Linked DNA regions of Saccharomyces cerevisiae S288C. The protein of the gene in region 2 purifies or fractionates together with the protein of the main gene of each other region. This does not show direct contact. Each region holds a gene or a part of one and is shown on either strand. Other genes may lie near its edges.

What was found. Proteins that work in one complex are often made in the same cells at the same time.
Region 1: the proteins of PUF6 (region 2) and SPB4 purify together in Saccharomyces cerevisiae (affinity purification with mass spectrometry; 5 studies listed by BioGRID, with this or other methods). This does not show direct contact.

The regions. Positions count from the first base shown.
Region 1 is NC_001138.5:145,179-148,934, forward strand, and holds the start of SPB4 (ATP-dependent RNA helicase SPB4), read right to left. Parts: upstream 1,757-3,756; coding exon 1-1,756. Other genes in the region: pseudouridine synthase DEG1, read left to right, coding at 1,953-3,281. UniProt on the Saccharomyces cerevisiae protein: ATP-binding RNA helicase involved in the biogenesis of 60S ribosomal subunits. Binds 90S pre-ribosomal particles and dissociates from pre-60S ribosomal particles after processing of 27SB pre-rRNA.
Region 2 is NC_001136.10:1,441,706-1,445,461, reverse strand, and holds the start of PUF6 (Puf6p), read left to right. Parts: upstream 1-2,058; coding exon 2,059-3,756. Other genes in the region: myo-inositol transporter ITR1, read left to right, coding at 1-1,749. UniProt on the Saccharomyces cerevisiae protein: RNA-binding protein involved in post-transcriptional regulation. Component of the ASH1 mRNP which transports the ASH1 mRNA to the distal tip of the bud, where the ASH1 protein is translated and targeted to the daughter cell nucleus.

The DNA.
Region 1 (3,756 bases), on a different chromosome or scaffold from region 2:
CGATTTCTTTCCAATCCTCTTTAATACGCTCTTCTTCAGCATTTTCATCGAGCTCTTCTGCTTTCAATTCTTCCTCTATAGCCTTCCTTTTTAAACTCATCTTTTCCTTTCTCTCGAGTTTCCGTTCTTTCGTCAATGTTTTATCTGACCACGCTAAATTCTTCTTCTTCAACTCACTTTTCAGCTTCTTTTTATCATTAATCAGGCTTATATTTTTTAATGTTTCTTGTCTCTCCTTTTCACGTTTTTTGTCCTTGTATTTATATTCATCCATATTAACTGGGGGATCGACCAACCAATTCCCTGGGAAAATCCCTTCTTGTTTTTCGGTGGCTAAGTACTTTGTTATCTCAGGCATTCTAGGCAGGCGGAAAAGACCATACAATTTCGCAATACCAACATAATCTAAAGATTGAAGCCTAAAAATTGAAGTTGCGGAATGATTTGAGTAGTATTTAATAAAGGCAACATATGCTTTAACACCTTTATCAAATCTATCCCTATCTTCTAGTATCCAATTTCTAAAGTCCTCGTAAAAGTTTGTTGTTATGCCCTTTACTTCCAAATCAAGTTCTTCAAGTTCCACATTTTTAACTTGCATGAAAGGAATAAAATCCTCTTCTCTGCCTTCATTAAGAAACGTAATTGCTTTACCCACTCTATTTGCTCTACCAGTTCTACCACATCTATGCATGAACATATCAGTATTGGTAGGGGGATCAAGCTGGATGACGAGATCAACGTCGGGTATGTCAATACCTCTAGCAGCCACATCTGTTGTGAATAAAACAGAATTACTTAGCGAATCAGTAAAAGCTGTTAGAGTTTTTGTCCTTGCCGATGTTTGAAGTTTTCCATGCAAGGAAAATATTTCTACTTCATTCACGAGAATATTCCTCTTTCCCAAATACTGGATAAATGAGTAGAAGTAGGAGACTGACACACATGTTGGAAAATATACAATACATTTCTTGAATTTGTAGTTATTCAAAATGCTAACCAAAAGTTGTAGTTTTTCGGCAGGATTTACGACACAGTAATTTAATTTCAAAGAGGAGGGCGCCTGGTTCTTAGAGTTAACGGTAATCCTGACAGGATTTCTAAGCCCTGTCTTAAAGATATCTGATCCGGCGCTACGCATAGTTGCAGAAAATAGACCCGTCCTTCTTTGTTTAGGCAATAGCCTCAGAATTTTTTCGGTATCCTTAATAAAACTCATATCCAACAATCTGTCTGCTTCATCCATAACTACCATACTGCATGCTGACGTCTTTACTGCTGGCATTTGTAAAAAGTCCAAAACTCTACCAGGTGTTCCAATCAGAATCTGCGGTCTATTCCGCAGAAAATTACTTACATCATCTCTAACTGTGGCTTCATTAGTACCAACCAGGAGCTGACATTTAATAGGGAACAAGTCGGAAGGATAATGTTCCAGAAATGATAGAACGACAGACTCAATTTGGCGTGACAATTCTCTTGTTGGAGCAATAATTAACGAGTGGAAGTGTGCTTTCTTGAATTTTGATGTATTCGCTTCTTCCTTTACAACTTTTTCTAGTACAGGTATAACAAACGCAGCGGTCTTACCTGAGCCTGTTACAGAATCAACTACTACATCCTTGTTGCCAGCAAGCATGGGAATTGTCGATGCTTGGACTGGAGTCATGGTCTCAAAACCCATAACATCGAGTCCTGTCCTTATCCAGGGAAGTAAAGAAAACCCGAGATTATCCCATTCCAATGACTTTGACATTGTTTTTATTGCTGCTGAGCTTTTAATATTATCTTACTACACCTCAAATCAATGGGCTCAGCTCATCTTGAAAAGCTCACTTTGTTTTTCAGTGAAAAATTTTTGAAAGCGAAAAGCCGGCTCAAAATAAAGAATAATATAGTATTCTCGAGGTGCCCACATGCAATCTTTACTGCCCTACTATAACCTCCCTTGAATGAGTAATTTCATTAGAAGGCTAGTTGGGAAAATGAAAGCGATTTCAACAGGTACCAATGCTATTGTTAGTAAGAAGGACTCCATTTACGCAAACTGGTCCAAAGAGCAGCTAATACGAAGGATCACTGAACTAGAAAACGCAAATAAGCCACATTCTGAAAAATTCCAGCACATCGAGGATAACAAAAAGCGCAAAATTTCGCAAGAAGAGGTTACGAGAAGCAAGGCGAAAAAGGCTCCGAAGAAGTTTGACTTTTCTAAACATAATACCAGGTTCATCGCCTTGAGATTTGCCTATTTGGGATGGAATTACAATGGCTTAGCTGTTCAGAAGGAATACACACCGTTGCCTACAGTAGAGGGTACCATTTTGGAGGCCATGAATAAGTGTAAACTTGTTCCCTCGATGGTTTTACAAGACTATAAATTTAGCAGATGTGGCAGAACAGACAAGGGAGTTAGCGCCATGAACCAAGTTATATCGTTAGAAGTCCGTTCCAATTTAACAGATGAGGAACAGCGGGATCCGACCAACGACAGCAGGGAAATACCCTATGTTCACGTTTTAAATCAATTACTACCCGACGATATTCGTATATCAGCTGTCTGCCTCAGACCGCCACCTAACTTTGACGCAAGATTCAGCTGTGTTCACCGGCACTATAAGTACATCTTTAATGGAAAAAACCTTAATATTGAAAAAATGTCTAAAGCCGCATCATATTTTGTTGGAGAGAGAGACTTCAGGAATTTTTGTAAGCTTGATGGCTCAAAACAAATTACCAATTTTAAACGAACAATAATAAGCTCAAAAATTCTTCCCCTTTCTGAAACTTTCTATTGTTTTGATCTCGTTGGTTCAGCATTCCTATGGCACCAAGTTCGTTGCATGATGGCCATTCTTTTCTTAGTTGGTCAATCACTTGAAGTGCCGGAAATTGTCTTGCGTCTGACTGATATTGAGAAAACCCCTCAAAGGCCTGTTTACGAAATGGCAAATGATATACCATTATTGTTATATGATTGTAAATTTCCTGAAATGGATTGGCAAGAACCTACTGTAGATGACTATAAGGCAATAAAATTCACGACAGCTACTGAAGCATTGACGTTACACTACGAACTTAAGGCCGCAGTATGCAATATTTTTAAAGATGTTTTGCCCACAGCAAATACAAACAACTTCTCAAAGACAATTATTAATTTGGGCGATGGAAGAGGTAAAGTAGTCGGTACCTATGTGAAACTAGAGGATAGAAGCGTTATGGAACCTGTCGAAGTTGTTAATGCTAAATACTCCAAGAAAAAGAACAACAAAAATAAGTAAAATAATATATAAACCTGTATAATATAACCTTGAAGACTATATTTCTTTTCATCACGTGCTATAAAAATAATTATAATTTAAATTTTTTAATATAAATATATAAATTAAAAATAGAAAGTAAAAAAAGAAATTAAAGAAAAAATAGTTTTTGTTTTCCGAAGATGTAAAATAGGTTGAAAGTTAGAAATTAGTATTATAATAGCAAAAAAAATTTAAAGTTAGAAATTAGAATTTAAGGCTCTACACACGTTTACGATGATATTGGACGACCGACACGAAAAGACAGTTTTAGGCTTTCTTTTGTCTTGCTCTTGCGTTGAAAGTACGTAATTTCCATTCGATTACTTACTCAACACTTGATATAGAGACCAACTATAAAATAAACTGTTTGGGAAGGAAAGCAGAACTCTTGTAATTACCTCATCTCATTATCAAGAAGCAAAATTTTAACTATGTATTTTGACCTTATTTTTGT
Region 2 (3,756 bases):
ATACACATACCATATCTCACGTCAAAGACATCGCAATCAAATGTTGGTGATGCCGTTGGCAACGCTGATAGTGTAGAGTTCAACAGTGAGCATGACTCACCTTCAAAGAGAGGTAAAATTACACTTGAGTCACATGAAATACAGAGGGCTCCCGCTAGCGATGATGAAGATAGGATTCAAATTAAACCCGTGAACGACGAGGATGACACGTCGGTCATGATCACTTTTAACCAATCTCTTTCGCCCTTCATCATCACTCTGACTTTTGTCGCATCCATATCCGGTTTCATGTTTGGTTACGACACTGGTTATATATCCAGTGCGCTGATCTCGATCGGCACAGATCTGGACCACAAGGTACTTACTTATGGGGAGAAGGAAATTGTCACTGCGGCTACCTCTCTGGGAGCTTTGATTACCAGTATTTTCGCCGGTACTGCAGCTGACATATTTGGTAGGAAACGTTGTTTAATGGGTTCGAATCTGATGTTTGTCATTGGCGCAATCTTACAGGTCTCCGCACACACATTCTGGCAAATGGCTGTTGGTAGACTGATCATGGGTTTCGGTGTCGGTATCGGCTCCTTGATCGCGCCACTTTTCATCAGTGAAATTGCTCCCAAAATGATCAGAGGGAGACTAACTGTCATCAATTCCTTATGGTTGACTGGTGGTCAATTAGTCGCTTACGGTTGCGGTGCTGGGTTAAACTACGTCAACAATGGTTGGAGAATTCTTGTTGGATTGTCACTAATTCCCACTGCTGTGCAATTCACATGCCTGTGCTTTTTACCTGACACTCCAAGATACTACGTTATGAAGGGCGACTTGGCAAGGGCTACTGAGGTGTTGAAGAGAAGTTACACTGACACTTCGGAGGAAATCATTGAACGTAAGGTGGAAGAACTTGTTACTTTGAATCAATCTATTCCTGGTAAGAATGTCCCTGAAAAAGTCTGGAATACCATCAAAGAATTGCACACAGTACCATCTAATCTAAGGGCTTTGATCATTGGTTGTGGTTTACAAGCAATTCAACAGTTTACCGGTTGGAATTCGTTGATGTATTTCTCTGGTACCATCTTCGAAACTGTCGGTTTCAAAAATTCTTCCGCTGTTTCAATCATCGTGTCCGGTACCAATTTTATTTTCACTTTAGTTGCCTTTTTTTCCATTGACAAAATAGGCCGTAGAACCATATTATTGATTGGATTACCAGGCATGACCATGGCTTTAGTCGTGTGCTCTATTGCTTTCCATTTTCTAGGTATTAAGTTTGATGGCGCTGTCGCTGTGGTGGTTTCCTCCGGTTTCTCCTCTTGGGGTATTGTGATCATCGTATTTATTATCGTATTTGCTGCGTTCTACGCTCTTGGTATCGGTACTGTTCCATGGCAACAATCGGAACTATTCCCCCAAAACGTGAGAGGTATTGGGACTTCATATGCAACTGCTACAAACTGGGCTGGTTCACTGGTTATTGCATCCACATTTTTGACCATGTTACAGAATATCACTCCTGCAGGTACATTTGCCTTTTTCGCGGGATTGTCGTGCTTATCAACCATTTTCTGCTACTTCTGTTATCCAGAATTATCGGGATTGGAGTTAGAAGAGGTACAAACTATTTTGAAGGACGGGTTCAACATCAAAGCCTCGAAAGCTTTGGCCAAGAAGAGAAAACAGCAAGTTGCCAGAGTTCATGAATTGAAATATGAACCAACTCAAGAGATTATAGAGGATATATAGTCCTTTCACGAGGTAAAAGGAAGGAGACGCAATTGAATATTCAAATACATAGTAGAAAATAAATAAAAATAAATTACAAGATAGAAAAAAGTTCATTGTATTTAAGTCGAACTAATTGTTGTATGCATATATAGAAGATTAACTAACCCGGCATTGAAGACCTTTTTTTTTTTTCACCTTGAGAGAAATACTGAAAATTTTTTTTGCTGGGATGAGATGAGATGCCTACCTAAAGTATTTCGAAGGTGAAAGCGTTTTATTATAGAGTACTGAAATAAAGCACAATCAGGAATAACAAATTAACTGACAATGGCACCTTTAACCAAGAAGACAAACGGAAAACGTTCTGCTAAAGAAGTTAGTCATTCAGAAAAGAAATTAGCCAAAAAACCTAGAATTTCTATTGATTCGTCTGATGAAGAATCAGAACTATCCAAAAAGGAAGATGCTGTATCCTCTTCATCAGATGATGATGATTTGGATGATTTAAGTACCAGTGACTCTGAAGCAGAAGAAGAAGCTGACGAATTAGATATTTCCGATGACAGTGAGGAACATGAAAATGAGAATGAAGAGAAAGAAGGAAAGGACAAATCTGAAGGAGGTGAAAATGGAAATCACACTGAACAAAGAAAACTGCTAAAAGAAAGGAAAATGCAAAGAAAATCTGGTACCCAAGTGCAACAAATTAAATCCGTCTGGGAAAGATTGCGTGTGAAGACCCCACCTTTACCAAAACAGATTCGTGAAAAACTTTCCAACGAAATCTGGGAGCTATCTAAGGACTGTATCAGTGATCTTGTCTTAAAGCATGATGCTTCCCGTATTGTTCAAACTTTAGTCAAGTATTCGTCCAAAGATCGTCGTGAACAAATTGTCGATGCTTTAAAGGGAAAATTTTATGTTCTAGCCACATCTGCGTACGGTAAGTATCTATTGGTTAAGTTACTGCATTATGGTTCAAGAAGTTCAAGGCAAACTATAATAAATGAATTACACGGTTCTTTGAGAAAATTAATGAGACATCGTGAGGGTGCCTACGTTGTTGAAGATTTATTTGTTCTTTATGCCACACATGAACAAAGACAACAAATGATTAAAGAGTTTTGGGGCTCTGAATATGCTGTATTTAGAGAAACCCACAAAGATTTGACCATTGAGAAAGTTTGTGAAAGTAGCATTGAAAAAAGGAATATTATCGCCAGAAACTTGATTGGTACCATTACCGCATCAGTAGAAAAGGGTTCCACCGGCTTTCAAATTCTACATGCTGCTATGAGAGAATATGTGAAAATAGCCAACGAAAAGGAAATATCTGAAATGATCGAATTGCTTCATGAACAATTCGCTGAATTGGTGCATACTCCAGAAGGTTCAGACGTTGCTTGTACTTTGGTTGCTAGAGCTAACGCCAAGGAAAGAAAGTTAATTTTAAAGGCTTTGAAAAACCACGCCGAAAAATTGATCAAAAATGAGTACGGTAATATTGTCTTCATTACAATTCTGAACTGTGTTGACGATACAGTTTTAGTATTCAAGACTTTCAGTCCTACTGTTAAGGAACATTTGCAAGAATTCATAATTGATAAGTTTGGTAGAAGGCCTTGGTTATACATACTATTAGGTTTGGACGGTAAGTATTTCTCACCTATCGTCAAGAATGAATTATTGAGATACATTGAACTGTCCAAAGCCACCTCTAAGAAGGATCCTTTACAAAGAAGGCACGAACTTTTGTCAAAATTCGCCCCCATGTTTTTAAGCACTATATCAAAAGATTATTCCAGTATATTGACAGAGAATCTAGGCTGTCAGTTCATTGCCGAAGTTCTAATAAACGATGAGTTGTACGCGCAGCTGAATGAAAAAGACCAAGAAAAGTATCAACAGGTCTTAAACAACATTTTAACTACTTTTAAGGGTGACATAACCGAAGAAGAGCACCCAATACATAGAGCATTTTCTACTAGACTATTAAAGGCACTAATTCAAGGTGGTAAATGGAAT